Danio rerio: one gene and its partners. The protein of the gene in region 3 purifies or fractionates together with the protein of the main gene of each other region. This does not show direct contact. Links are inferred from orthologs where the notes say so. Each region holds a gene or a part of one and is shown on either strand. Other genes may lie near its edges. The genes, in order: abl1, ret, shc1, ap2m1b, inppl1b and gab2.

Region 1 (5,001 bases), on a different chromosome or scaffold from region 3:
CACAAGCTTCTCACAATAGTTTGCAGGAGTTTTGGCTCATTCCTCCTGACAGAATTGCTGTAACTGAGTCAGATTTGTAGGCTTTCTGCTCACACAAGCTTTTTCAACTCTGCCCACACATTCTCTATAGGATTGAGATCAGGGCTTTGTGATGGCCACTCCAAAACATTCACTCTGTTGTCCTTAGAGCACACTTGAACTCATTTAACAGTGTGCTTAGGGTCATGGTCTGTCTGGAAGAGCCATTTGTGGCCAAGTTGTAATGTCCTGGCTGATGTGTTGAGATGTTGCTTCAGTATTTCTGCATAATGTTCTGTCTTCATGATGCCATCTATGCTGTGAAGTGGACCAGTCCCTCCTGCAGCAAAACAGCCCCACAACATGATGCTGCCGCCCCCATACTGCACAGTTGGGATGGTGTTGCTAGGCTTGTAAGCTTTCCCCTTTGTCCTCATATTGCTCGTTATGGCCAAACAGTTCAATCTTACTCCATCAGAGCACAGGACTTGTCTCCAAACATTAGTCTTTTCCCAGTGTCAATTATCTAATGGTAATCTGGCTTTGTTGTTGATTCCGGCTTGTTGATTTTCCCATGTTGCTCATCATCGAGAATCTTTTTTCCACTCTTGATCTTCTAACCAAAATCTGATCCATATTTGGCCGCCTCATCCAGCTAAAATCTTGACTATAGTGGGACTTCACTACAATTAGAGTGAATTGACGGTCTGGTTTATCTTTCAGGGATCTGGCAGCCCGTAACTGCTTGGTCGGGGAAAACAACCTGGTTAAAGTGGCAGATTTTGGGCTAAGCCGGCTGATGACGGGAGACACATACACAGCCCACGCTGGAGCAAAGTTCCCCATTAAATGGACTGCGCCGGAGAGTCTGGCCTATAACAAGTTCTCCATCAAGTCAGACGTGTGGGGTACGCATGGACAGACAAAAGAACACACTTCCACTGTTACAAATGATGTTTACAGTAGTTTTATGTTTTCATTGTGTTTTCTCTCATTTACCTTCTTTTGTCTCAACATTTAACTCATTTTATTTAGTTGTCTTACTTTTTTCAAGTTATTTATAAACTGTACTGCAAATGTAGTTAATGGAGCCTCTCGTTTTTGTGGCTTCAGGCATTGTTGGGATATATTTGAATGCTGTTTTAATGCATAAACAATTAATAAATTGCTATGCATATTATTGATGGAGAAGGTATTACCTTTTCAAAATTATATTTGTATATAATATAAAATAATTAATTAAAGTGTTTTCGCCATGTCCACTGAGCCATCTTTCCACATTCAGACATGCATGTGTGAGAAACTGATCCTCTGATTTGACCTCCTTCAGCATTTGGAGTCCTGCTTTGGGAGATCGCCACCTATGGGATGTCTCCGTATCCAGGAATCGACCTGTCTCAGGTGTATGAGCTGCTGGAGAAAGACTACCGCATGGACAGACCCGAGGGATGCCCAGAGAAAGTCTATGAGCTCATGAGGGCCTGTAAGCAGATCCTTCTACACAATCTCTGAAAGAAAGAGTAGACAAAGTGACACCCTATCATGCACACTGTGCAATGCAAGTGTTGTTTAGCTTTTATCAGCTCAGCGCAGGTTTCATTTTAACGTCCTGTGCCCTGTTTATATGGCAAATCTGCTTTGGTGCAATTGAAGCTTGCTTCTAAAGGTAATTGAATCTGCTTGGTTTAATGCATATTACACTCAAAGCACACCCATGACTCTTTAACGACGTAAGGACATCCCTTTTAGACCAGTTTTCCCATCCTTAAAATTGTAAAAGTGGATTCAGACTTGCTCCAAGTGCATTTATATCGTTAAAATGGAGCCCAGTGAGTAAACCTGTATGACTGTAGTGTTTCTGTCTTTAGGTTGGAGGTGGAACCCTGCCGAGCGCCCTTCTTTTGCTGAGACCCATCAGGCGTTCGAGACCATGTTTCAAGAGTCCAGTATCTCTGATGGTATGAGCTTTCAAAATCTTTAATCAAACTGTTTTGAATAATAACACCATGTGTGTGTATTTATGGCCATGTGGAGTCTGATTTGAGGTTACTGTCTTACTGTCAACTCTAAATTACAATTAGTAACGGATTCAGATGTTCCCTATCTATGCATTCTGCACTATTTTACATTAATAATGCATTCAGTTTACTGTAAATCTGTACCTCTCTGGTGGCTCATCCTCATTCTTGTTGCATTGCAGAGGTGGAGAAAGAGTTGGGGAAAAAAGGAAAGAAGCTGACCCTGGGACCAATACAGCAGGCGCCAGAACTTCCAACTAAAACCAGGACACTACGAAGACCTACAGACGGCAGGGATGGGGACAGTCCCGGTAAGCTCTTCTCTCTCAGACCTCTGCTTATTTTCGTTATTATCGAGCAGTTGTACTGATGAACTAAACTTTCTCCAGACGCAGCCGAGGCCGAGGTCACTGGACCCCCGATGATGCCGAGGCCACTCCTAGATAGCAACCTGAATGAAGATGATCGGCTCCAGTCTAAAGATAATAAGGATAAATTTCGAATGAATCCCTTCAGTTATATTAAGAAAAAGAAGAGGACGGCTCCGGCGCCCCCAAAGCGCAGCAGCTCCTTTGGGAAGATGGACGGACACCTAGACCGTAGAGGATTGGGTACTGACTGCAGGGAGGATTTCAGCAACGGGTCTTCCACCAATGATGCCTTAAACAGCATTGACCCTTGCAAATTAGTTGGGTCAAACAGTACCACGACCATCGGGGTCACCAACGGAGCTCCAGTGTATCCCGGTCAGCTCTTCCCATCTCATCCACGGAAAAAGGGCACTACATCGGGTGGTGGAGGGAAGCTTGCCACGACTCCACCTCCAGAGGAGGACTCCATGTCAAACTCCAAACGCTTCCTACGATCTTCTTCTTCCTCCAGCATGCCTCCAGGCTCTGATCGCTTCGAATGGAAGTCCGTAACCCTGCCGCGGGACATTCAGTCAACACACTTTGATTCTAACACATTCAGAGGCAAGCCAGCTTTACCTCGTAAGAGCTGCATGCCACGAGGTGGCACGCTTACCCCACCACCACGCCTTCCCAAGAAAAGTGAAGATGTTTCAGACGAAGTCTTCAAGGACTCTGAGTCTAGTCCTGGATCAAGTCCTTTAACTCTGACTCCCAAGCTAGGCCGCCGACCCCAAACAGAAAGCTCCAAAACTAGTGCCTTACAAACAGAGGTATTAAAACCCAATGTGCTTCCACCTCTTGGAGACGAAGGCAGACCTCGAAGACTCAAACTGTCCTCTGAAATCCCAGGACAGAGAGAGCGGGAGAAGGGGAAGTTTGCGAAACCCAAACCCGCTCCCCCTCCTCCTCCGGTGTCCAGTGCCAAATCTGGAAAGACCTCAAGGAGTCCGACTTTTGAGGTGTCTTCAGATACCAAAGTCAAGAGTTCACTAGACTCCGCAGATCAAGGCAAGGCTAGTCTATCCCAAGAAAGTGCTAAAAAGTTGCCCAAAAATGGCTCAAAGGTAAACCCCTCGAAGGCAGGTGCGACTGCTCCTCTACCTGGAATGGGAGCCAGTCCTGTGGTCGGGGATCCGGGATCCAGCTTCATCCCACTGATGACGACGCGACGTTCACTGAGGAAGGCTCCAGCACGGCAGCCATCAGAGCGACTCTCCAGCTCCACCATCACTCGAGACATGCTGTTGGAGAGCTCTGAGCTCCTGCGTACCGCCATTGCACGTGTCTCCGAGCAGACCGGCAGCCACAGCGCTGTCCTGGAGGCGGGGAAAAATCTGTCCAAGTACTGCGTCAGCTACGTGGAGTCCATCCAGCAGATGCGGAACAAGTTTGCTTTCCGCGAAGCCATCAATAAGCTGGAGAGCAGCCTGCGCGAGCTGCAGATCTGCCCCGCGGCCACCGGCACCGCAAACACTCCGCAGGACTTCTCAAAGCTGCTGTGCTCCGTCAAGGAGATCAGCGACATCGTGCAGAGGTAGCAGAGAACGGCGCCACTGGAAACACAGTATCTCGATGTCTGGGGCCATGTCTTACATTTCAGTTCAACACACCTCAGCTTATCTCATGCCAAATAGAGGAACGTTTGTTCAGTGTCTTATTACTGTGTGCACAAAAGGGGGAACGTTTGATGCAGAGCTGTGCTGAAGAGTAGGTCAAGAAATCAACTCTGCCACTTTCAAAATGCATTGCTATTCTCTCTGGAATCTATTCTGAGATTAGTTTTTAACAGCAGTCGGCGCTCTAGGCTATTGTTTAACAGCAGACGGCACTTTAGGCTAGTCTTTAGCAGCAAACGCTAAACCCACAATGGATCTTCCTCATGAGCATTTTTTGTATAGTTAAAAACTAGCCTAAAGCCCCATCTGCTGTTAAACACTAGCATAGAGCGCTGTCTACTGTTTGTATCTTGCTTAGAGTGCCATCTGCTATTTAAAACTAGCCTAGAGCACCATTTGCCGTTTCACACAAGCGTAGAGCGCCGTCTGCCATTAGACACTAACCTAGAGTGCCGTCTGCAGGTAAACACTAGCCTAGAGTGCCATTTGCTGTTAAAACAAGCCTAGACCGCCCTCTGCTGTTAAAAACTAGTCTTGAGCGCCACCTGCTGTTAAAAAAATAGCCTAGAGCGCCATCTGCTGTTAAACTAGCCTGAAGCACCATTTGCGGTTTCAAATGAGCGTAGAATGCCTTCTGCCATTAAACACTAACCTAGAGCGCAGTCTGCAGGTAAACACTAGCATAGAGCGTCATCTGTTGTTTAAACAAGCCTAGAGTGCCATCTGCCTTTTAAGCACTAGCCTAGAGCGCCATCTGCAGGTAAACACTAGTCTAGAGCGCCATCTGCAGGTAAACACCAGCCTAGAGCATCATCTGTTGTTAAAACAAGCCTAGAGTGCCATCTGCCTTTTAAGCACTAGCCTAGAGCGCCATCTGCAGGTAAACACTAGTCTAGAGCATCATCTGTTGCTAAAGCAAGCCTAGAACGCCCTCTG
Region 2 (5,605 bases), on a different chromosome or scaffold from region 3:
ATCCTTGACAATATTCGAAAGACACTTGAATTAATTAATATACAAAACAAAATAAATACATTTCCTCATCAATTTTTACTATTTATTACAGCTATTTATTGATTCATTTTACATTCATAAAAAATCCCTTTATTAATCCGGGGTCGCCACAGCGGAATGAACCACCAACTTATTTAGCACATGTTTTTACGCAGCAGATGCCCTTCCAGCTGCAACCCATCTCTGGGAAACATCCATACACACTCATTCACACACATACACTATGGACAATTTAGCCTACCCAATTCACCTGTACCATATGTCAGTATAGTGATACCAGTACATTTTTGTTCTGGGGACGTTTCTTGCTTCCTCATGAGGAACAGTGACTCATAACTCAAATGGTTCTAAACTTTTATTGACTATATTCTGAAATGCTGAAGTGCGCTCATTTTTGCGATTGTTAAAGAACTTCCCGATTCAGTTCCTGTGTGAGAAATTACTATGAATGGCAGAAGGCGGTCAGAGTACTTGCTCAACAAACAAGTGTGTTCATGACTATACATAAAAAGTATAATAATATAATATTAGTTTGCAACATTAAGCAGCATAACAAGCTATTTTTAATGTCTAAAATTGAATGGAAGTAAATAAGACTGGAAGTCTTGAGCTAAAACGATTTAAATGCTGGCTTCTGCTCGTATACATGAAGAATAAAATCAATACAATTTTGTTATAGTTGTTGAACAATATATTCTAAAGAATGTTGGGGGAAAACAGCTATTGCCATCTTCTTTTTTAATTCTTCAGAATATCTTGTTTTGTGTTTTAAATAGGAAAGTAACTCGTACACATTTGGAACAAGTGGAGGATGAGTAAATGACAACAGAATTTTCTTTTTTGGGTGAACTATCCCTTTAACTGCACCCTGTTTTCACTTTTCCCTAAGTCCTTTTCATTTTTATGTACGTAGATACAAGAGTCTGTTTAATTATTATATGTGAATGAGCATTTTTGAAGAAGAGAGCGGCTAGTTACACATCATTTACTATATTGACATGTGAAGACTTGGCTTCAGAGCTCATTTTCACTGTTATTGACGAGGAAAAAATACATAGTTCATGTAACATATATTGATCTTGTGTGAAAACATGACCCCAAATCATCATGCTCTCATGCTGCTGTATAAGATGTCAGAATTAAACACTTTTTTGTTGTTGTTGTTGAACATTAAGACATTTCCTTTTTTTAAAAATCGAAATGTTATATTGTGTTAATTACCTTATAATTAATATAATGCAGTTATAGTTTTTTATAGGCATGTATAGGCATATATTAACTTTCTGAAGAATTTACTTATAGTCCAATTGTCAATTTCCCTATGTGACAGCAAGCTGAAGTGTAGGCATTAATGCAGTTACTGATTATTGTAAAGGCTACAGATTAATGATACTATAAAGTTAAACAGTGTTGCTCTTTTACACTGCAAGGGAATCGGTATATCTAAAACTATTAATTCTTAATAATATGACAGGTAAGGGGAAACCAGAAGTCACACTGGAGACACCTTTAACGAGCACATTATTTGCATGTCCTCAAAATTTCGTTTTAATTCAGGAAGAAGTCTTGGGCTCATTGGAGACCCGCTGATGTGATTCAGGACATAAACACACATCTGAGGAAATTGGCTGGATGAGATGTGAACCTCCCCCTGCTGTGCTCTCTCTCTCTCTCTCTCTCTCTCTCTCTCTCTCTCCCTCCCTGTGTGTGTAAGAGAGAGTGAGCGCGCGCGCGCGGACGGTCCAGCAGCTCGCGCCGCAGTCGCCCGTCAATGGGACACTCACGTTGAGGACTTTCGTGGCTCCTTTCGCTCGAATCAAAACAAGGCAAAGTTCTGTTGTCAGGAATCAAAATACTTTTACCTGTTCGTTGTGACATTACACTTATGATTGACAATTATGGGAAGTACGCGGGGAATCGTGTGGGGAGTGCTCCTGCTTCTCCTGTCTGAAGGTAAGGGTTTATACTCCATAATAGCCTGATGCCCTCGCGCGAACTGTCCGCTCTTTAGCCATCACTGTGTGGGATAAACAACTGTGTTGAGAGGCAGAGCTGGTGAATGACTGTCTAGAGACTGTCACACTTGTCGTATTTTAACTTAAACTGAATTGTCGCCTTTAGTGAACATCCTTTAGTAACCAGTGACAACACGGGGTTGTGTGTCAAAACCCTGGAAAGCAGCCTACATAGACTGCATGTTGCTTCTCAGATGAAATGGTTTCTCATTTCTGTTGTCTTAATTTTTATACAACATTCAAGAAACCCGCAAATATACTTTCATAATCTTCATTCATTCATTTTCTTGTCGGCTTAGTCCCTTTATTAATCTGGGGTCGCCACAGCGGAATGAACCGCCAACTTTTATAATATTCAAAGTATAAATTGTTTTTTTATATATAACTGGAGGGTCCTTTAATGAACCCAATGTTCAGAAAAATAACCTGTTCGAGGGTGTAGATGGGAAGCTCGCAATAGGTTTTAAGACAAAGCCATGGTCCAAACAATGAATATAAGAATTCATAGCATAAGTTTTTCTACTTGTTTTTGCTTTGGATAATTTTATAAGTCATTAAATATATATTCGTATTTGAGGTTTCAGTTTATATGAATTTTATTAATCTATAAATACCGAAACGCAGTAAATTAAGAACATTTTGCAAATGTTTTGTCTACTGGTTTTCTTTCTCAAAGACATTTTTAAGTGATGGACAAACTTTTATTCTGTTTAATTATTAAAAAGTTATTGATAATACTTTAGCAATGGTTCAATAACAAGTTAAATTTGCTTCCTGGAAACTATGGATTTAATTTAATTATGTAAACAATTATGTTTAAGTGTACTTGGGGTGTTATTTGCCATGTTTAAGCAAAACTGGTTTCAAAGTGAACCTAAACCCTACTTTTCAGTGTAATAAAGGCAAATCATTTTTACCATTTTATATTTAGTTATAATAATTTTAAGTTGTGTTTCATTTTGCATCATGTTTTAAATGTAACTCTGCTCAGCAGACAACAAAGAGTTCATCTGTATATCCATGGGGTCTGCATTCGGTCCCTAAACACAGACAACTGAGCGCTTCTAGAGAAATTGACCAGACAGTTTCATAGTGTCAAAGACAAAATATGTACAATCCTAATGTACCACATGGTCCATGCTAGCAACACGCTTGTGTCCATACATCAATATATTATAATCCCACTTAAAACCCCTGTGCCCAACTGTACTAACACACATCTCTCAAAATAACTGCAGATAACTAGAGTTGAACCCGTTCCTGAATAGATCCTAAATCTCAGTGTGTGGTCAGCTGCATTAAAAAGGAATGGTTGCATCGTGACAGCTTGAATACAGACAAAAGTGGAGCATAGCAGAGGTTTCACAGCTATTCCGGTCATTCGGAAGACATTTGGCAGTGTGTGAATGCAAAAGTGTTGCATTTGTCTTTGTTAGTGGATGGCAAGGATGATGTTAACTGAATGAATATTACTTATGAGTCAAAAAGTAAGAGAACAACCAAAGATGCTTTCAGATGTTAATTTAATCTTGCAGTCTAATAATAATGGGAAATTGCATTTTAATGGTCATGTGGACTCATCATGTAGTCAGCTGCCTAATAAACCCAATAAAATCAGATATGCTGCAGTTTTTTTCCTGAGCAACTTAAATTGAATCATTTCGCCTTGCAAGGTGCATTACAGTAGATCAAGATATTACTAGATAAATGTATATACTGCGTTGTTTGTCATGATTGAATGAGGTTTTCAATGCATATTAAAATGATAGTTAATCAAACATTACTCACTTCCAAAGCTTTATAATTGCCCTTCTTCTAATGAAACCAAAACAAAATATTTTAAAGAAAGATGAAAACCTGTTACCATGACTTCCACAGTAGGAAAAACAAATACTGTGCAAGTCAATGGTGACAGGTTTCCAACATTTTTCAAAATATCTTCTTTTGTGTTCAACAAAAAGAAACTCATGAAGGTTTGGAACAACTTGTGGGTGTACATGTACTTAATCTTTGTTATCTGATAAGGTGATCATGATGACATGTAACCTGCACTGAGACTATGCAAGTTTATGCAGAATCTATCAGATATTTGATATGATAATGATTCTGTGAAATTCTTAATAATGTAATTAATTTTTTTTATTACTTTTTAATCATTTTGTAGAAAGCTGAAAACCTGTAACCGTTGACTTCCATAGTAGAAAAAACAAATAGAAGTCAATGGTTACAGGTTTCCAACATTTAAAAAAAAAAACATCTTTTGTGTTCAACAAGAAAAAAACTCTTGCAGCTTTGGGGCAACTTGAGGGTAAGTACATAGTAAGTTTAAATGAATGGTGAGCTATAAAATAAGCTACAAAAATATGTAGATATGTGTAGATTACTTAAGAACTTTATGGTACTGATTGCAAACTGCATCATGAAAATTGTAGCCAGTAATCTAGTCTAAATTTCTAATTTAAATAATGTAATCTGATTACTGGGAATACTTTTTGATTACTTTCAACTTGTTTACTTCTTTTAAAAATTGGTTTCCAAACTCAAAAGCTTGGGTTCACAAAACTGATTTTCCATGCTCATGTCAATTTTCAAAGCCAAATAATGCTTTGATAATCTACACATATACAGTAGAATTCTTTTTTATAAAGGAAATTGTATTAGAGAAAAATAGAATCTCTTAAAATCAATGAATTATGAATAAATGACATTGCGTGAATAATTTGTAAACATATTCTATAAAAGATTATTTAATTAGATTATAAACAGTTTAAATGCTATATATTGAAATTACATGTACTTAATTTTTGATTATCTGATGAAGTAATCTAGATTACATGTAACCTGCACTGAGAATATGCAAGTAAATGCAGAATCTAGCAGATGTTTGATATGATAATGATTCTGTGAAATTGTTAATAATGTAATAAATTTTTTTCATTACTTTTTAATCATTTTGAAGAAAGCTGAAAACCTGTAACCATTGACTTTCATAGTAGAAAAACAAATAGAAGTCAATGGTTACAGGCTTCCAACATTTTTGGAACTTGAGAGTAAATAATGAGTTTAAATTAATAGAGGGTCACACTTTAATTTGATGGTTTGTTGAAGTTCAGTTACACTGCATCTACATACCAACCAATTCTCATTAGATAAGACTAAGACTTTGGTTGGAGTTGAGGTTAGGATTAGGGTTGGTGTTAAATGTCTTGAACATCTGTATTGACAGATATTAAGCAGACAGTCTACTAATGCTGAAATGGACCATCAAAATAAGGTGGTACCTAATGGTGTGCTATAAAAGAATCTACAAAAATATGTAGTACATGTAGATTACTCAAATGAAACATAGAATCTGGGAAAATCAATTAATTGTGAATAATAAAAATAAAGAGCATGAAGTTAGGTTATAAGCATTTTAAAATGTAATATCAAATTACATGTGCTTAATTTGATTATCTGATTAAGTAATCCAGATAACATGTGACCCGCACTGAGAATATGCAAATAGAAACAGAAACAAACACATATTTGATAAGATACGCGCATGATTC
Region 3 (5,001 bases):
CCAACAACAGGCGCTACGTCATAATCACGTCCACACAAGAGCAAGCTCCTGATTGGTAAACGCGGCACGAATGTCCGCTGAAGTTTAGATTTTTGAACTTGAATGATTCATGCGAAAAGCGAGTCAAACGCGCAAAACATTCAATTTGCGCCGTGCCATTCACATGTATTGAGTCATTTGCTTCGCACCATGCCATTCATGCATATCACGGTGCAGGATGTCTATTCACGCCTTTGCCTTGACTTAACATGTAAATCATTCCCACTTGATGCTTCTTCCATGTCTGGTGTGAACACAGCATAAAAGTATAGTGTCCCCTTAACTTCACAGGGGCATTAGGGTTGAGTGCCCCCTGCTGCTAGTAACAGTATTAATTTGTTGAAGCCATGTTATACTAAAAAAAACAAGCAGACAAAAACTTGTGAAACAAATTTGACAAATTCTTTGTAACAATGAAAAAATCTTCATTGTCTGTTTTGTTTGTTTTTTATCGTATTGACCCCACATTTTTGTACAGGTTTCTATCATTTTACAAAACCAAACATTCAATAAAAACCATAAAGCATAATTTAATGAATAAAGTATGGACCTAATAAATTTTACGCTTGATGATAGCTTATTTACAATTGAATGTGGTAAAGCAGGGTAGTATGCTGTGTTTTTTCCTATTTTGAAAACAATACTTTGGTTTACTATACTTAGTAAATTAGTTCAGTAATACTGCAGATGTAGATTCACAGAGTAAAAATGCTCCAACCATCCAGTGATGCTCTGCTTTCTTTCTTCAGAACCGTTTGATGCAGCGCTCGTTGTGTCGGGTGCAGTGGCACTTCCTCTGGCAGAGCAGCTGCAGAACGAGCCCTGGTTTCACGGGCCTCTGAGCCGCAGGCAGGCCGAAAGACTCCTGACCAAGGATGGAGACTTCCTGGTGCGGGAGTCAGGCACCACACCAGGCCAGTACGTCCTCACGGGACAGCAGGGCGGACAACCAAAACACCTGCTTCTGGTGGATCCAGAGGGAGTGGTGAGTAACAAGACGAAATTTAACCACACATTATTCACAGGTAATAAGTGACTCTTTGTGAATATGTGATAAAGTATAGAGTATGACATAGTCTGTGTCCAAAATAGTACACTATGCAATCTGTACTGTGTACTTATGCATTTACACATTCAACAGAATAGTATAGGTATGTAGTGTCGTCCTAAAAGTAACACTAACACTTTTTTTTACTTGGCAGAAATTCAAAGCTTATCCCAGATAATGGTTGACGATTGTCAAATTAATGAAATAAATGACCGAACTACCAAATAACACCTGCCATGAGTGTAACCGCATTCACCATCGGAAGTCGGTATAATCATCGTAGGAGAATTTTACTTTCACAATCCAAAATAAATAAAGTAATCCAACATCAGTGCTCGAAAACTCCGCCCCTTCTGCTTCTGCGTCCATCATTCCACACTTATTTTTAAGTTAAATAAGTGCAAAATCAGGGTATTAAAAGTTCACTATTCAGTGAGAAGGCACTACTTACACCATTTATACCACAAAATGGTGTAGAATAGAGGATAAGTATGTGATTTGGGATGCACCTATAATCATTTTATGACTCCACACGCTTCTTTGATAACAGAGTGACATAATACAATCTAATATTGTTTTTTATTTAATTATAAACAGAATTCATGTGTGGGTAAAATTTACCTGCACTGGCGGTTTTCGGTATATTGACCTCAGCGTATTTTGTTCTAGTGTTAATTTGTTGTGCCATTATAGACCATTTTAATATGGTGATGACATTAGCCCATGAATAGTTTCTCCTTGTTGTATAGTTATTTTATAACTGTAACAGAGGAATTCAATCATAACTTTACTCTAAAACAGCTATCATAATATTATTTATCAATTTGTGGACCTATTTGGATTCTCATAAGGTATGGAAATGAAAAATGTAAGAGGAAATACTTTAGGACTAGTGTTATTGTTTATATCCCTCAAAATGGTCTATAAAAGAACGCTAAAATGTATTTAGTATGATAATACTGCGTTGCTTTACTCCACGTGATCCGACCAGAAGAATTGGAAGCAGTTGACTGTGGCATAACAAAAGCTCAGCTGCTTTCCTGCCACATCACGTCCATCTCTTATCAGCAATTGCTTCAGCAGTCTCATTTCACTTCAGTGGCTTTCAGTCTTGTAGGGTGTTCACACCAGACATACCTTGCATGAGTACATAACATTATTCACATGGAATAAGACACTTGAACATTTTGAGTTTACTCATTTGATTCGGACGTGAAATTTACTTCACAAAAGATGCAAAATCATTCCAGCTTTGTTGACAGATTTTTTTGGGAGGGTAGCTTTGCTTTATGTGAAAAAAAAGGCTGAATGGTGCAGTTTCTGGGTCCATCAAATCTTTCAGAGTCACATCCAGTGTAGTGATTTTTACCAATTCCTTCAGGAGCTGCACCTGTATGATGACAGCTACTAGAGCAAGACTAGATGATTGGTTAATGCTGCTCGAATGTGCACCAAAGTTCAGATTTTTTAACCTGAGTGATTTGAGAAAATCACACATTAAGCACATCGACTTAAAGTGTTCGAATATTTTCTCAAATGGGTAGCGACTTGGACCCGGAAACAGTGTTCCATACGTCACCGATACATCACGAGTGGATAGCCCCTTTCACATATAGAGACCTTTCTGAAAAAGGGATCATGTGTGAACAGACCCTTTTTGAAAATACCGGTAAATTCATTCCGGCAATTTTCTGGAAAGAGAAGTTGTAACATCACTGGTAATTTGCCGGAATGCTCTGTTTGAACGCAGGGGGAAAATTACAGAAAAGAGCCCGTTTGCGTTCAAAACGTGCTGACGTGAGACGTCTACTCCAGCCAATCTGGACATTCAGATGCATTCAAATCCATGCTGCTTATGAAAATAAAAGCCTTTGAACATTTTTCCAGGCACGTTTAGCTGCTAGATGTAAGTCAGATAACATTTCTATGTTCCTTCTTAATGCCAACTGTGTAAAAAATTTGCGATAAAATGCTTATGAAAAAACGCAGTTTGTTTACCTTCAAGCTCTGCTTCAGTTGCTTGATGTGTGCTCCGCTGAGCGCCAGCACACACACATATGTACATCTCGACATGCGAAAGTGTTCCTTCATATGTTTGCATCGAAATTGTTCACAATACTTAGCCATCCACAGAATTTGTAATGTTGTCAAATGTGTAAATATTTAGCTGCCATTCACGCTTCCTTCTTTGGATGTCTCTGGGACAAAGCAGCAGCATGAATGCTAAAGCTTGGATGCTACATGCTAAATACAAGTGAAACCATCAACAAAAGCCTGACCCCGTATATGTTTACAAATTCAAGTGCAAATGTTTAGAGGTAATTTCTAGTTAAGGATGTCAGAATTTACCAGCATTTTGAAATGGATGTGTGAATGGTCTTTTTTTTCTTTTTTCAATTTACCATTAAAGTCATTGCATAAGTTTTCTGGATATTTACCAGTATGACTGTGTAAAAGGGACTATTATGTACATATACTATATATATTTTTAATAGATTGACGATCAGTCATTAATAAATAGCATCCTAAATAGGTAAAGTTTGCCAGAGTTATGCATTTCCAATTGAATTTTTATCCGTATAGCGCGTTAATATGCCTTGTATTCTTTCCTTTGCCATTTCATAGGTGCGCACCAAAGACCACCGCTTTGAGAGCGTCAGTCACTTGATCAGCTACCACATGGACAACCGGCTGCCAATCATCTCTGCAGGAAGTGAGGTGTGTCTGCAGCAACCGGTCGATCGCAAAGCTTGAGAAACGCTTTAGAGAGAAATAGAAACTCTCCTTCATACCTTTTTTATTTTTGCCTGACTCTATCAGAGAAACAGTTTTTGTTCCAACTGGGAGTGTAAGCTAATCCCATCGTCCCAGAAACACTTGAGTTTTCTGCTGCATCAACCACCGGCCGTGAAATTACAAAGCGATGTAATCATTCTATTCAAAGTCTAAAGCAAACGTCGCTTGAGGAAAGCGATTGCAAAAAGCCAAACGAATAGGCTTCAAGAAGAGGAGCAGATGCGTAATGGATGTGACATCACTTCCTTCCCAGTAACCATGGCAACCAGCCAGGGCATTCTTGTCAAGAGCTGATGTGAATGTAGTAAAATTGCAGACCCTTTGTAGCACTGGAAAGATTCACATGCAGTGCGGTGGGCCAAATCCAAAGACACGTTAGCGATTAGTTTTTAAATCCTGTCGTCGCTGTGGTTTCAAGACTGTTGATGAATATGCAAAACTTTAAAGACAACACAGCTCATTCTCCATCAACTGAACCACATCTGTTGTCATTTCCATTGGAAGATCCCTTTTCCCAGTGTTCCTATTGAAGAATAACACTCAGAATGCCACTCATTCTCACTCACACCACATGCCGAACACGATCCCGTGGAGAAATTGGGAATTTTGGCCATTCGGGAAGACCCCTGATCATATGTGAAAGCTTTAGCAGCTCGGATGCTGTCTGGATTTTTTGTTGCCTTATGCAATTGAGCAGATGCTGTGAGGGACATATGCTGCCCGTATTAGGTGTGATAAACTGGTCTGTGGGAAAGGGGAACATGTTCGCTTTCCACACAACATCAATCTGGGACAAAAGGGATGAGAGAAAATAATATCTAAATGAAGTGCAATCTGCATAGATGGGCTGGTAAGCTTGAATGGGACTGTGGTTTGAGATCAAAGCCTTCTTATGATGTCATTTTAGTCAAGAATTTATATATTTGTTGCAATGATGTCATCTCGTTCTGACATCAGGATGGTTTTATTCTGCGAACAGGCTCTGTTTGTCTTCGTTTCCTCCTTTTGGTGTTTCTTCTGTTCGCATTGACAATCGATCTTCATGTGTGTGTATGCATATATGCATTCGGAGTCTCAAGTTACGAAACATGCATTATTTTGTCGAAAATTTACTTGAA
Region 4 (4,615 bases), on a different chromosome or scaffold from region 3:
GATTACAAAATATTCATTTTTGGTAAACTATCCCTTTAAGGATGCTTAAAGGTGCTGTATGGAAGTTTTTGACTTTTCTGAAGCATAAAAATACCATAATATGATTGCAAATATTTAGGAAACATGCTTAGTGAACATTCTTGTGTACCTGAAAAGCAATGCTGAAGTCAGATATTTTGCTTTGAAAATGTGAGTTATGTGCCGGTAGGGCTGGTTTTTGTTTTGGTCCCATTAACCCGCCCACTGCTGGTTTAGCCAATTAAATTTCAGCACCCTGGGTTGCCGTTGTGATTCATTCAGTCATGAAGGCTCTGAAAGCATGCATCCATGAGCCAAATGCATCCTCCGGTGGACAGTTGCAGTCTCCGAAATGAGATGCAGATTCAGAGTTCCACATGATTTTATTATATAGCAAATAATATAAATATTATGAACGTAAACATTAGGTGAGCAGGTTACATTGTAACCTCATGTCCTAACAAATTATGTGATGAGATTTGCAGTGATGAGCAATTTGGCTGGTTGCACCAGACGAAACACGACAGAAATTTAATTACAGCCATTCAGAAGCACAGAATAGAACAGTTGCTGCACTCCAATGCAAGGGTAAGCTTTATAATCTAATTAATGCATATTAAACCTCTTTAACGTTATTAAATATAGATGCTGAATCACTGATATGTATTGGTTTGCACTGTCACAGTTCTAAAGTTTAATTTTAAACGGTTTATTTTATTTTTAGGATCTGAGGTGAACTATGCTGCTGCTTTCAGTAGTATGGCAATAAACGTCATGTCAAAGGGCATTCAAACTCACATTATTAGCATTTAACACTGAATAAAGCACATGAGGTGTACCTGTGCTGATCATTGCAATAGTATCTGGATGCAGCCTTTATGATGCAAGCTGAGACTGCATCACTCAGCGATGCAATGTGAGACACAATGCACTCAAATGGAGCTAGTGACGTCACTGTGAAGGGTAGGATTAGGGGTGGGGTTTGGTGGGCCCATTAAAAAGCATTGTATGCAGCCCAGATTGCACTGCACCAGGTCTGCAGCCAGACCCATCTCGATCATTGTCAGTTTTTTCTGTTGTTCAGTTGCAAAAAAAATAGAAGCCGCTTCTAATATATATATATATATATATATATATATATGGAAAATATTTCTTCTATCATGTTGGCTTTTAGTTAGAGCATGACCTAAAAAAACTTTGTTGGTGTCGTCAGTCTGGCAACCAGCTCTTGCGTGTGTTTTGAACCAGGGGTGCAATACCTAGGTCAACCACTGGGTGTCAAACTTGCATACTGCACCTTTAATATACAGTGGGACCCATATTTTGTATGTCCTGTGCAATTGGCTTGTCATTTATGCTAATACAAAAGTATTTTCATTGATTTATTCAGAGATTTGCATTGCTGAAATAGTTTTCTGTCTTTTCTAGGTACCCTTTGCTCCATCAGGGCTGAAAGTGCGCTACCTGAAGGTCTTCGAGCCGAAGCTGAACTACAGCGACCATGATGTCATCAAATGGGTGCGTTACATCGGCCGCAGCGGCATCTATGAGACCCGCTGCTAACAGAAGCCCCTCGGTGAGGAGGAGGGAGAGACGGCGAGCAGATATTCATAGTCTCGCTCTCCCTTCCTCAGCGCTTTACACGGGACTCTGTTCACAGCCAAAACATCAACAAAGGGAATCCAAAACAATACCCATCAAAACAAGAACAAAACACATGAGGTGAAGTTCATCTGCACTTATAAAAATGACGTTAATCATCATGTACCCCTAAAGAAGTTCACTTATTATGAGATGAGATGTAACCCCCCCCCCTCCACTCGGTTCTCCTTTATTCCACAACATGCATTCCAGACCCCCAGTCCCCATTGAAGCCCAGCTCATGTGGGGCTCTGGCCTCTTTTTATCCGGTGATTATCACTGAACTTGTGTTCCTGCTCGCAGGCGCTATCAATGTGGACATTTCCCACTCTAATCCCCGCCAAATCTGGAGATCATATTAAAATAACCTTCATGCTTCATTTTCGTAGTGGCGTATTAGTTGGGTATCGTCCACGTTCTTGTTCTCAGTGAATTAGTGTAAACGTTAAGCCAACAAAAACCCCATGGGTACAAGTTTTACATATGCAGATGTTACATTTTCGATTTAATTTCTAAAATGATTTCTCAATGTGACCAAAAGGAGGTGCGAGGGTGGTTGACTTAAAGCAACAAATTGTACTAGTGCTTATGTCCAGTTGTCTGTGTGCGTATACGCTGCTATCTACACCGTAACAAAACAATAACACGGAGTCCAGCTTTCATTTGGTGTCATATAGTGACTGGTTTGTGTGTGCGTGTGTATGTGTGTGAGAGTCCGGGGTCCCCAACATCTCTCAGGGACATTGCATTTGTGTGCTTAACCTTCGTTCAGTGACTCTCATGGTCGTTTACCACTTTGTTTACTTGACTGAAGTTTACCGCTTGAGTTTGTCAAGTGCACCGAGTCCGTCTTTTGCTTGGGTCAAATCTCTCCCTGCATTTCAACATTCCTCTTGAGATTAGTTTTGTGGAGCAAATGCAACTTCAAAAAGGCGCATTTCACTAAATACATAAGAGGAGAGGGGGCTGGAATATTAGGGAGTCCCTCTGATTGTTCCCAGGGATGATTTCTAAACCTCTTTCCTTGCTCCTGATCTAAGGCAGGAGATTTTGGAGATGTCAAAACATAAAAGCAGGTCTTCCTTTAAGGTCTTGAACACTGCACTGGTTCCTTTCATGTGTGTATAAACTCTGCCAAATAGCCAGAGGATTTATCCTAATGCAAAGGCGTTTTAGTTAAGCGACGCACCGTTTAGGAAATGACCTTGCTGTTGATGAGAATTCTGCCCTCTACACTTGTGTGATCTACATTCTGCTACAGCCAACACTACAGACTCGACCCTGCAGGTTTAAATGAGCTTCTTGTTGATCGTTTGTGGTCGGACCTCAGTGTGTAGCTGCTCTGAGAGATGATGTGGCTCCGTTTACAGCGTATTGTCTTCATTTGGTAACTTTGTGACTTTCGTCTTGATCCTAATAAAATGTGTAATCAATTACTCTTAGTAGTGTTTGTTTTTTTTATATATCCTGCATACAAGTTCTCCCATTTTGTCAGCCATCTTTAAAGATACTCTCCCTCTCTGTTGTTTGGAAATAGGCTCATTTTGCAAGTCCCCCTATAGTTAAACGGTTTTACCATTTTTTTTTTTTTTATCCATTCTGCCGATCTCTGGAAACACTTTTAGCTTAGCTTAGCATAGACAATTGAATCTGATTAGACCATTAGCATCTCAAAAATTCAAAAATATATATATTTTCCTATATAAAGCTTGACTACTCTGTAGTTACGTCATATAATATGTCCAACAGAAATAAAAAGTTGCTATTTTGTATGCCGATATGGCTGAGAACTATTCTGGCGCAGCAATCAAGGGACTTTGCTGCAGCAGGCGCAATGATATTACGAAGCACTTATACATAGCTGCGGACTATTTACTGGCATTGCATTGCGTAATATCATTGCCCTGTAGTACACAATGTAGCTACAGAATAACCAAGCTTTTAATAGGGAATTTATTGAAACACTTTTTACTTTTGAGAAAGTTGCTAATGGTCTAATCTGATTCAATGATCTATGCTAAGCTAAGCTAAATGTGCTCCCAATCAGTCCTAGAAATCAGATGAATAGTTTCAATAAATTTATTCATTTAAGCTTAGTTACTTTCGAGCTTTTCAGAGAACTTTTGCATGGTTGTGCTCCATTGACTTATTTAACTACAACTGTTTATCAGCAACTGTTTATTAAGTTAAAGGTTTGATTCTGATTACAACTTGAAGTGGTGATGATGTCTTCAAATATTCTGAGAAGCTCTTTAAAAAGTGCATTTATTTTTTTTATATTTTAAAAAAAAAATTATAAGAAGAAAACTTCATAAAAGCAGCAACGCATACCTTTTATAAAGCCTTGTATTTGTTGTGGTCGTCTGATAGTTGGTGGTCTGAAGGCGTGGTTCGCACGTTGTGAAACATTCTGGGTTTTTCTTCCCTCTGCAGCAGGGATGGACAGGCGCTGTTTGTGTGGGAAGTCACTCATTAGTGCAAGTATTTAGGCTGACGTCATGGCCAATCATTAAGTGGGTGCAGGAGCCAGAAGACCTACTGATGGATCGATGGCTAATTAAACTCTCATCTCTCAGGGCCCCTGAAAGAGGATCTCCTGTCCCGCTACTCTTTTTCTCCTCCGTCCTTCCGTCTCCCTCTCCCTTTCTTTTTTCGCTCTTTCCCAGAGTGAGTGACAGCAAAGGGTCAAGCAGCCCCCGGTTCCGCAGTCACCTGGAGCGCAGCCAAAGCCTGGGCCTCCAGCCAGATTCAAAACCACTCGCAAAAGATATGAGGCTGCCTTTCAGGTGCCCTTCTTCAAATCCACGTTTCTCTCTGCTCCAGGAATTCCATACTTTATGTTGATGTCACTGCTATGCGAACGAGATTGACTGAAAACCAGCCGTCAGCTTGGTGAATAATGACACGGTTGACTTCTGTGGAGCTGCTGATTTTATAATCGCTGAACTTTGCAACA
Region 5 (5,001 bases), on a different chromosome or scaffold from region 3:
AGGATTTAGGAGGAAAGAAGTCCTCCTCATTTATATTGTTATTTGATTATCTTTATAATCATATAACAAATTGGGGTTATGTGTATATGAAATTCCAAATAACAAATGTAGCAGGGCATTAAATTACTGATTGTTTCTTTGTATTAAACTTTGTAAATTATAAAGTCATGGGTCTCCTCACGCTTTGTGTCTCACTTTGTGAGCCAACTGACAACAGCTGTTCGCTCCCACTTTTTTCCCTGCTCTGCCGGCCACGACAACTCCTCCCTCTACTCACAGAGCTCCACGCCCATTATGAAGCATTTTTTGAAAAAATTCTGAGGTAGACTTGAACCAAAAAAGTGGGGTTTCATGGCCCTTCAAGCCTTTATATACTTTTATCACTAGTATATTTGAAAAATATCTATTAAAATATTATGTACTGCAATCATGGCGAGATGAACATTACCCAACTCACCTCTTTCTCCCAACTGTAGTTTCTCTCACTAGCTAAGCCATAATCATACCCATGCTGCCTTTGTTGAGACGGCATTTGATGAAAGGGATACTTTTTGTCTGCTGGCTGAAAGTCCACCTCACTGAGTGATTTAGCAATCTGGAGGGCTGTGAGTGAGTTGTCTCCTGAAGCTGGAGTGGGCTGCTCTACTATCCAGGAAGCTGAAGACTGGGCAGGAACTCTAGTGGACACATAAGGATACAGCTTTGGTCCATTTCGGATTGGCACAGGCCGACCTTGGTGCACCCCTTGATAGTCTTGTCTGACTTTTTCTTTATGCATGTCTCTAGAAAAAACTGAATGGTTCATATATGAGTTTGTAAGTTTTTTGCCTGATAATTCTGAATCCGGTGCCATATTGTTCTTATGGGACTGTAGCTGTAAAGATGAATTTGAGGAATGTGTGGTGTGTCTTTGGTTTGGGGATGTACTAGGGACATGTGGACCCGGAAAAAGCTGATAAGAGGATGCAGTCGATGAAAGTTCACTCTGAGTCTCGCAAGATGGTTTATAGGGTGCTAAGGAGCCAGGAATCTCGATTTCGGTGAAGTCGGACCTCCTAGCAGACCTTTTGCCATGGCCGTGGCTTCCAGTCACTCTAGGCAGCTGTATCACAGTGTTATTAGCACATACTACTTGGGATTCTTTAATAGTTGAAGGAATCTCTTCGGCTTTCCGAAACACAGGCATTTCCTCAAAGATGAAGTATGCAGGATTGGTGTAGCTGTTTGGAGATGCCACATATGAGGCTGACGGTGCTCTATAGTGCAATGATGAAAAGTAAATCAGGGTGACATTTAATAAAAAAACCAAACAGTGATTACCATAACAAAAAACCCTATTTATTAGCTTTGTGCTGCTAGTCACTTACTTGATAGAGAATGCACTGGAAGAAGGGGGAGACAGTTGGTCCTTCATCATTTCCCTCTCATCCTTCTCAATGCTGAGCCACTCTGTAATGTGCACAAGAAATGCCTTGCGTCAAACTGTGTTAATACTGCAGACATATGTGGTAATGCCACTGTTCATTCAGTGAGCAGCATGGTGAGTGTCATATTTCAGTGAGGTTTCAGGATGCATCTGGACAACATCAGGCAACTGCACGCCAAAAGAGGAAGAAATGGTAGATAGAAAAGTGAAAACAGAGCCAAAGCAGAGGAGGAACTAAAACTAAAAGAAATGTAGGGTGGGTGAGTGTCTATGGTACATTTGCAGAAACGATATAGTAAAAGCACGGATAACCCACCATAGACTCTTTCCCGGATCCTTCGGCGGTCTGGTGGTACATATACTCTGAATCGACCTCGAATAGAGCCCATCTCTTCACCTCTGTGGGTCAAGCATGTCTCAAATGTGTCCAATAATTTCCCTGCTGTTGGGCGAAGAGCCACACAGCACTCCCCTAAAATGTTAAAGAAAGTGCTCTCAAATCACCTGAATTAAACTGTTTGCTGTGTTATGCTCTTGGTTATGAGGTAAATGTTTCTAAAAACCAAACAACTGTTTCAGAGGAATTTCTTTCAGAAAGACATTATGACCATGTACCATATGACTCAAAGCCATCACATGACTTCACAGACAACAGCAAGTGCTGATCCCGCAGATGCTCTAAATCCAAGAACACTGGGTGAAGCTGTAAAAAAATAAGGAAAAACAAATAAGAAATCCTCATTAAGAAGCATAGTTAAAATGAACAGAAGGTGATCTCGGACTCAACCTTGGGCAACTGTTTTGAAGACCAACCAAGTTTGAGAAACCCTGGCACCTCACAGTACTGGGAGTCATTTTCAGCTGATCGACGAGGCTCTACAAAGAAGAAACATGATGGTGACAAAAAGAGCTGTCACATATATCTCATGACATACAGATGTTTCAAAAGAAAACCAGACAAGCAACATACCATTGCATGCTCACTCTCCTCACTGATTATAGCAAAAAACATACCTTCCAGACAGCGGGAGTGGAACTCGATGAAAAACTTGGCCTTGCTAGAAGTTTTCACTATAGCCTCAATCGCCTCCAGTTCAATGCTGGCTCTCTCTGAACAGGACTCTGGAAAAGAGTATATATATATATATACAAATATATATATATATATATATATATATATATATATATATATATATATATATATATATATATATATATATATATGGTCAAGATCATCACATGCATAGTAGCAACTAGTGCTCTCCAGTGTCAACAGCATTTACCATGCACTCATGCCTTATGTTACATGGAAAGTATAAGTACTGTTGCTGAACACGGATTACAAATATAATTTATAATTCAGTCCACCCAAAAAAGTCAACTCTATCACTATTTATTCACCCTTATGGTTAAATAAAAGATAAAACATTTATTTTTTCCATTGCAAGTCAGTTCAACCAAAACGTTGACCCATCAAAAAGTACATTTATAGATTAATCAAGCAGTTTAATCAATTCATTCATTCAGTCATTCATTTTCCTTTGGCTTAGTCCCTTTACTCATCAGGGGTCGCCACAGCGGAATGAACCACCAGCATATGTTTTACACAGCGGATGCCCTTCCAGCTGCAACCCTATACTGGGAAACACCCATATAATCTTACATGCAGCACATACACTACGGCCAATTTCAGTTTATTCAATTCACATATAACGCATGTCTTTGGACTGTGGGGGAAACCAGAGCACCATGAGGAAACCCACGCAAACACAGGGAGAACATGCAAACTCCACACAGAAATGCCAACTGGCTCACCTGGGGCTTGAACCAGCGACCTTAATGATGTTAGGCGACAGTGCTATCCACTAAGCCACCGTGATGCCTGTTTAATTCATTTTATGAAAGAAAACATCACATATGTAATTTTGGCTTTAAGGGATGGTTTACCCAAAAATGACAATTTCGCCACTATTTAATCATGCTCAAGTGATTCTAAACACAACACAAGATATTCTGAAGAATGTTGGACACTCACAGTTGGAAAAAAAGATGCCTATGGCAGTCAATGGCTGCTTCTTTCCAGCTTTATTCAAAATATCTTACTTTGTGTTCAACAGAAGATAAAAAGTGGAGGGTGAGTGATGATGAGAGAATTCAAATGCTGGGGTGAACTATTACTTTAATTTACATTTATTCACTGACACTTATCAAAAAGACTTGGAATGACATGAGTATGAGTTAATGATGACACAATGTTCATTTAAAAAAAATTTGTGCGCTCTCCCTTAATGAATGACCTTTAGGGCCTTCACATGTTGATGCAGTGGAAACAGGCTTGATATTAGTGGCAAAAGGAAATGGTTGTTCCTTAACAAAATGCTTGTTTAGCAACTCCTAATATAACTCAAGTTATGAAATGATCTAAAGGGCAAAAACTTCAGATTCAAAGTCACAGGCAGATTCCCATACCAGTTCTGGGAAACTGTGATATGACACCCACTTCAAAGGTTGCAAACACAGGAGAGTGCTCACTGGTGAAGATGTCATCTGTACACCCTGAAGAACAGAACCAAAAGAAAAATGACATTTAATATAATATAAATAAAAAGACTTATACATACACTCACCGGCCACTTTATTAGGCACACCTTACTAGTACTGGGTTGGACCCCCTTTTGCCTTCAGATCTGCCCTAATCCTTTGTGGCTTAGATTCAACAAGGTACTGGAAATATTCCTCAGAGATGTTGGTCCCTATTGACATGATAGCATCACAAAGTTGCTGCAGATTTGTTGGCTGCACATCCATGTTGCAAATCTCTTATTCCACTACATCCCGAGGGTGCTCTATTGGATTGAGATATGGTGACTGTGGAGGCCATTTGAGTAAAGTGGATTCATTGTCATGTTCAAAAAACAAGTCTGAGATGATTAGAATTTTATGACATGACACGTTATCCTGCTGGAAGTAGCCATCAGAAGATGGGTACACTGTGGTTATAAAGTAATGGACATGGTCAGCAACAATATAGGCTGTGGTGTTGACACGATGCTCAGTTGGTTCTAATGGGCCCAAAGTGTGCCAGGAAAATATGCCCCACACCATTACAACACCACCAGCCCGAACCATAGATACAAGACAGGATGAATTCATGTTGATGCCAAATTCTGACCCGAATGTCACAACAGAAATTGAGACTCACCAGACCAGGCAATGTTTTTCCAATCTTCTATTGTCCAAATTTGGTGAGCTTGTGTGAATTGTAGCCTCAGTTTCCTGTTCTTAGCTGACAGGAGTGGCACCCGGTGTGGTCTTCTGCAGCTGTAGCCCATCTGTCTCAAGGTTCAGAGATGCTCTTCTGCATACCTCAGTTGTAATGAGTGGTTATTTGAGTTACTGTTGCCTTTCTATCAGCTGGAACCAGTCTGGTCATTCTCCTCTGACCTCTGGCATCAACAAGGCATTTGTGCCCACAGAACTGCTGCTCACTGGATATTTTCTCTTTTTCAGACCATTCTCTGTAAACCCTAGAGATGGTTGTGCATGAAAATCACAGTAGATCAGCAGTTTCTGAA
Region 6 (5,726 bases), on a different chromosome or scaffold from region 3:
ATATATATGTATATATATATATATATATATATATGTATATATATATATATATATATATATATATATATATATATATATATATACATTTGCAGTGGGTAATTTACAGAATGTCTGCATGAAATGAGCTTTATTTATATTCGAATGATTGTTTTTGCCATGAAAGAACAATCTGTAATTCTTACCCAGACAATGTATTTGTGCTTTTGCCAAAAAAAAATATGCCTGTGCAACATTAATACTGGTTTTGTGGGCCAGGCTCACAAATACTTAAAGTTAAATATAGTTATTTGTTTGTGGATTGTTTAGAAAATGTAATAAATTATTTATATTTTGCAAATTCTTTTTTATTTTAAAATGTTCCTCTTTGAAACTCAAATATTTTGTTTAGTTTTATTCAGAATGTAGAATTGCTATGTAAATGCCAAATGTCTATTAATTTTTAATCCAAACATCAGAATTTGTGGGCAATTAAAACTAAACGGTCAAATTGACTAATACAAAAGCCCCATTGACTTCCATTGTAACCAAAAAAAAATTTTTTTATTACAAAACAATCTAACAATGCAACAAAGCCAATGTTGTTACTAATCATTCACATGCTCAAGACTGTGATAAAGGGTAAAAAAATCCAGTCCACATTTACTTTTTATATTGGAAGATATGTCATTTAGTGTGTGTGTGTGTGTGTGTGTGTGTTTTGTTTTTGTTTTTTTTCACCAAATCAATGTGATTATTTATGAATTTGACAATTAAAGAGTTAAAATCCTGTAATTTTCTAAACAATTTAGTTGTTTTGATCTGGACCGAGGTTGATTACCAGATTTATGCAAAAAATAAAAAATAAATAAATAAATAAATAAAAATGAAAATTAAAAAATTAAAACAAATGATCTGATGCATTTCACAGCAGTTTAATTCAGTGGATGTTTTCATCCCTAATATACAGTAAAAAAAAAAAAAAAAAGGTAGTACATTTGATTTTATTTTTTTCTATTTCAGATTTAAATGGCCAGATACCCTGTGGGGACGGAAGCAACACTGCTATTTATGTCCCACAGCCAACAGACAAACCTTATTTTTTTCTTTCACATTAGAGTTTGCAGTATTTGGACTCAGATCTTTTATAAAAATTAACATTGCCAATAATAATTGATGAAAATAACTAAGATTTTAGAAAATTGTAACATTTTGCAGTTTTGGTTTGCTTTTGAATCATTTGATTGAACTGAAATGTAAAATAAAAATATTTTTTGCAAAAATAAAGGACAAAATATGTTGTTTTGAATACTAACAAAGTCATAGTGAAATATATTTCAAATAAATAAGATTAAGTAAATCTAGCAAATATAGTTGTTACTTTACCGATGGGGTCAAAAGTAACAATGCAACTTTGTTTAAAGTGAAGTTATATTAAAGTTGTTCTACACCGATACAAAATAGCACTTGGTTTTGATAAAACACTCTTGTGGGTTAGTATTTCTGCTAAAAACAGTTTTAAAATTAGATTTTTTATGAAAAATTTTACTTTCGTACCCGCTTTCCCCTAATTAGCCTGTGTGTTACATTATTAGGCCTATTTTACATAATATTTTTTTGTAATGAAAACTACTATTTGTAAATAATCAACCAGCACTGAGAGCAAAATTGTGCATTACATACACCAGTCCACAAGGTGACGTGTTTCTCAAACTAATCAACAGATTGGGCGAAGTTACCGACGGCTGTTTCTAATCCCGAGAACACGTTCAGTGCGCTCTGTTGCGGCTCATTTGACAACACCGAGTTATTCCGTCCACGAAAGTACATTTGAACGTCTCAGACACCCTTACAAACTTTACACAAACCCACCAAAAGAGGGTGTAATGTAATAAAGACACCAACTACACATAAAACAGCCGGTGTGGCGAACTCCACACTTGCGCTTCATTGTCTCCGTTCATCCCTACAGCAAAGAGAAAGAGTCCCGTCCCTTGAACACAGTGGGCGTGGTGTATGTGCGAGTGAGTGGGAAAACAAACAGCAGACAACCAACACTTCCTACATCTTCAGCAACTCGAGCGTTCGTGCCCGCAGTGTTTACACAGAGTCCCGCAGCGCGCACAGGACGCGTCCCATCACCAGTAAATGAAGCTCCGCATCCACGGCACTGCCCCGCGCGCGCTCAACATACATGGACCCGCAGCATCTGAGGACTTCAGACTGATCTGCTGCTGTTGATTGTGTTTTTTGCTTTCTGTAAAATGAGCGGAGGAGAAATCATCTGTCAGGGATGGTTGAGAAAGTCGCCGCCCGAGAAGAAGCTGCGGAGATATGTGAGTGTTTAAAGCGCTATGTTCATTTTGTGGTTTATGTTGAGTCAATGAGGAGGAAAACTGTCAACTTTTAGCATCAAACTCTCTATTTGCAACATAGTCGTTCTAAGAAAAGAAAATACTGTTTTGAAATGTGTTTATTAACAGTTTGCTGGTTTAAGTTGGACTATTTAGAAGCAAAGCAGTTGTTTTGATGCTACAGTAGCAAGTGCATGAAGCCCATTTAAGACCAGCGACCAAACCAAGCTGATTAGGCTGGGAGACCAGCAAAACAGTTCAGACTGGTTTTGTTTAACATGTATATGATGATGCTATTATTTAGAGAGCACAGTGTCTGATTGCTGTTGTATTGTTATGCAGTATAGAAGCCTATTCATGACATTTGAGAAGTGTACAGTTGCTAAAATCAAAAGGTGGCCAGTTGATGTTCTAAGTTTGGATTAGTTTATGGAATGCTGTGTGGTAAATATTTAAAAATTTAAGGTTTGGAAGATTGTTTAATAGAGCCTTTTTAGAATTCTAATTTATAGAGTGGGTGGTGCAATGTTATGATCACATGACCTGTTATATGATGTCATTGGCCAAATGTTATTCTGTGTGACACTTTTAGTTTGTAATCATGGAAATAGAAAGTACGATACGTTACTTAGGCAGTGTTTACCCTTTTATTAGCTACAATTAATTAAAGATGATTTTCATGTACATTTTGTAAGTAAAGCCGGTTCTAGTCATAGAGCCTAGTTCACTGACAAGCTGTGCATAATCACGTTCAAAATATCAGGTGATTAAAACATCTAATAATTGATTAAAAAGAGAATAGTTCTGCAATAATATGTAGAATAACTGCGTATAACTTCTTTGTGAATATGGCTCTGTGTTGTTGCTGCTGCTGCCTCATCTGAAATCATGTAAAAATATCACATTTAATAACATACATTTTACTCCAAACTCACTTCATAACTTAATTCAAGAGCTTTAATAAACATTCTGAGAGGTGAGTCAGTACTCAGTTGCTTATATTAGTCATGTAAAATTCATGAACACAGTTCAATCTTGTGTGCCCAACTGTATGGGTATTTGAAGTCTTTTTTTTTAAGTGAAGCACCCTCTGGCCTTTTAAGGACATTTACTACTAATCACACAACTGTGCTTCCCTGACAAGATGTGCATGAGAATAGCAGCTTTTGCTTGATTGCGATTTCATTTCGGTCTACTCACCATACATTTTGACCTTCATTTAAATGAAAACGGTGATGTCATTTGCATGTATTATGTTTCCACTACAGCAGCATAGCATTTCTTTACTAAATTTATTTTTCTATTACAAAGTATTTCTTTTTCTGCTGGAAATATGTTGTTCTAAAAAAACTAAATAAAACATAAGTAAAATATCATACACATGCCTTAAGAACGGTATAGTAAAACATTTTGGTTTTAAAACCTTGACTTTTCCAAACCATGGTATACCTAGAAAACTGTTATCGTCTCATGCCTACTTGTCTGCATTTTGTCAGTAACGCCGGTTCCATGATTAGCTGGTGCATTTAGATAGAGCAGCATTTACTACACAGACCTGTAGTTTGCTGACATACCACACAATATTGCGTTTATTTCAATTTAATCTGTATTTCTGTGCAAGAGTGCCCTCTGGCCATCGCATTGAGATTACTACCGATCATAGAACAGAACCGATGTGCAATCTCAAATCATCTAAATTGTGTTTCCATTTAAGCGTATTATGTGGCCACTGGCCAGATATAGAATATTCTGTAGTTTTTGAATTTTCATGTGAACCAAGATATTTTTGACAATGTAATCTTGCTACGAGTGTGATAGTGCATTTATATAACAGTTCGACAGCATGATTGTGTGTATAAATAAGCTACGTGTGTGATATTGCGTTTATACAACAGTTCAACAGCAAAATTTTGTGTATAAATAAGCTCTGAGTGTGATATTGCATTTATACAACAGTTCGACAGCTAAATTGTGTGTATTCAAACACGGGGACTCTCAAAAACTCTTTTGTACAAGGAACTACTTTCTTCCGCCATTCACATCTGCAGCTGACGTCAGAACAGCAGAAACCTTTGGCAGTTTACAAACGTCACTTTAGAGCAGTTTGAATGATTATCTTGCGTAATGTCTAAAGTGATTGTAACAGCCCGGTTGGAGAAATAAAAGGATTAAACTCATGCACTGATGTTGCACTGTCCTCCTTTGTGCCTTTATTGTTGCATTTGCCGTCCTTAAAGACTGTACAACACCGTAAGAGCTAAGAACAGATGAATAAACACAAATAGAAAAGATATAATGAATAAAAATTCACATAATAAGACAAAACAATAAACTTAGTGACAATATTATAAAGTATCTGCAAATATATGACTAATTTTACGATAAAATAGCAATTTAAATTATTAGCAAGCCAACAAATGCATCAAATTTTAGCAATATGTATAAAAAATGTCCTCATCTACCTTGTTCTCCCTTCCAACCAGGTGTTCAAACAATGAAGATGAACAGAACAAAAAACAAACTCAAATATGCATTAAATCTCTTTTAAATCAGTCCTTAAATCTAACTTTAGCTCCGTGCATTTCTCTGTACAAGCGATCGCGCTCTCCCTCGTGCTAGGCGCGCTTCTCCGATCTCCCTGCTTCCGTGATCTGCGCGCTCTCGCGCACCTGACCACTTCCGGCAAGCCGCGCGTCAAAATAAGGGTCTCTATAGGCTAAATAACTTAGTGCAAAGCGGAGTTCAAATAAATAACAAAAACACAACAATTTTTAAAGAAATAGAGAAGTAATTAAAAGCGGCATAAATAATTAACACTGAAACCTAACTTAAATAACTTGGGGTTATTTACACTCCCACCAATCATGAGTGATTATGAATTTTAACCTTTTAATCACGAATGATTTTAAATGAATTATAATTACTACTACTACTACTATAACCATTTAAGACTAGATGTAAACAACACTAAAACATATACTACTATGAACTGTTTACTCAAAGGATATGTCAGTATGTTCAGGCTGCCTCCATCAGCAGGACCAGCTTCTGCACTGGACGTTCCACCACAGATGGTTTATGTGGACGTTTGCCATCCTTCCCCAGATTTCTGTCTCCGAACTGTATTTTCACTCTTCTCACCAATCCGTCCTTGTCAGTGACTGCCTCAATAATCCTTGCCAAGCGCCACTCATTCCTGGGCAGATCCACTGCCTTCTCCAAGACAATATCTCCTACTTGCATGTTCCTTCTTGGTGTATGCCAGCACTGTCTTGTTGTGATGTTAGACACATACTCCTTATGCCAACGTCCCCAGAATTGTTCTGCTAAGTATTGGACATGCCGCCATCTCTTACGGGCATACACATCTTCCCTGACAAATTTGCCAGGAGGTGG

What was found.
Region 1: the proteins of shc1 (region 3) and abl1 purify together in Homo sapiens (affinity purification with western blotting; 5 studies listed by BioGRID, with this or other methods). This does not show direct contact. The link is inferred for Danio rerio from reciprocal best matches to the Homo sapiens genes SHC1 and ABL1.
Region 2: the proteins of shc1 (region 3) and ret purify together in Homo sapiens (affinity purification with western blotting; 4 studies listed by BioGRID and IntAct, with this or other methods). This does not show direct contact. The link is inferred for Danio rerio from reciprocal best matches to the Homo sapiens genes SHC1 and RET.
Region 4: the proteins of shc1 (region 3) and ap2m1b purify together in Homo sapiens (affinity purification with mass spectrometry; 3 studies listed by BioGRID and IntAct, with this or other methods). This does not show direct contact. The link is inferred for Danio rerio from reciprocal best matches to the Homo sapiens genes SHC1 and AP2M1.
Region 5: the proteins of shc1 (region 3) and inppl1b purify together in Homo sapiens (affinity purification with western blotting; 4 studies listed by BioGRID and IntAct, with this or other methods). This does not show direct contact. The link is inferred for Danio rerio from reciprocal best matches to the Homo sapiens genes SHC1 and INPPL1.
Region 6: the proteins of shc1 (region 3) and gab2 purify together in Homo sapiens (affinity purification with western blotting; 6 studies listed by BioGRID and IntAct, with this or other methods). This does not show direct contact. The link is inferred for Danio rerio from reciprocal best matches to the Homo sapiens genes SHC1 and GAB2.

What each region holds. Positions count from the first base shown.
Region 1 is NC_133180.1:78,533,516-78,538,516, forward strand, and holds part of abl1 (tyrosine-protein kinase ABL1), read left to right. Parts: intron 1-741; coding exon 742-926; intron 927-1,348; coding exon 1,349-1,501; intron 1,502-1,886; coding exon 1,887-1,976; intron 1,977-2,218; coding exon 2,219-2,347; intron 2,348-2,425; coding exon 2,426-3,987; 3' UTR 3,988-4,283; coding exon of another isoform or gene 4,284-4,295; 3' UTR 4,296-4,855; exon of another isoform or gene 4,856-4,945; 3' UTR 4,946-5,001. UniProt on the Homo sapiens protein: Non-receptor tyrosine-protein kinase that plays a role in many key processes linked to cell growth and survival such as cytoskeleton remodeling in response to extracellular stimuli, cell motility and adhesion, receptor endocytosis, autophagy, DNA damage response and apoptosis.
Region 2 is NC_133188.1:28,847,163-28,852,767, reverse strand, and holds the start of ret (proto-oncogene tyrosine-protein kinase receptor Ret precursor), read left to right. Parts: upstream 1-1,828; 5' UTR 1,829-1,937; coding exon 1,938-1,992; intron 1,993-5,605. UniProt on the Homo sapiens protein: Receptor tyrosine-protein kinase involved in numerous cellular mechanisms including cell proliferation, neuronal navigation, cell migration, and cell differentiation in response to glia cell line-derived growth family factors (GDNF, NRTN, ARTN, PSPN and GDF15).
Region 3 is NC_133191.1:24,097,467-24,102,467, reverse strand, and holds part of shc1 (SHC-transforming protein 1), read left to right. Parts: intron 1-788; coding exon 789-1,024; intron 1,025-3,712; coding exon 3,713-3,841; 3' UTR 3,842-5,001. UniProt on the Homo sapiens protein: Signaling adapter that couples activated growth factor receptors to signaling pathways. Participates in a signaling cascade initiated by activated KIT and KITLG/SCF.
Region 4 is NC_133193.1:48,980,722-48,985,336, forward strand, and holds the end of ap2m1b (AP-2 complex subunit mu-B), read left to right. Parts: intron 1-1,446; coding exon 1,447-1,581; 3' UTR 1,582-3,095; downstream 3,096-4,615.
Region 5 is NC_133189.1:37,342,503-37,347,503, forward strand, and holds part of inppl1b (inositol polyphosphate phosphatase-like 1b), read right to left. Parts: intron 3,983-5,001; coding exon 3,896-3,982; intron 2,549-3,895; coding exon 2,441-2,548; intron 2,303-2,440; coding exon 2,214-2,302; intron 2,130-2,213; coding exon 2,042-2,129; intron 1,899-2,041; coding exon 1,743-1,898; intron 1,450-1,742; coding exon 1,368-1,449; intron 1,257-1,367; coding exon 458-1,256; intron 1-457. UniProt on the Homo sapiens protein: Phosphatidylinositol (PtdIns) phosphatase that specifically hydrolyzes the 5-phosphate of phosphatidylinositol-3,4,5-trisphosphate (PtdIns(3,4,5)P3) to produce PtdIns(3,4)P2, thereby negatively regulating the PI3K (phosphoinositide 3-kinase) pathways.
Region 6 is NC_133190.1:10,781,486-10,787,211, reverse strand, and holds the start of gab2 (GRB2-associated-binding protein 2), read left to right. Parts: upstream 1-2,071; 5' UTR 2,072-2,240; coding exon 2,241-2,312; intron 2,313-4,512; exon of another isoform or gene 4,513-5,348; coding exon of another isoform or gene 5,349-5,726. Other genes in the region: uncharacterized protein, read right to left, coding at 5,349-5,726. UniProt on the Homo sapiens protein: Adapter protein which acts downstream of several membrane receptors including cytokine, antigen, hormone, cell matrix and growth factor receptors to regulate multiple signaling pathways.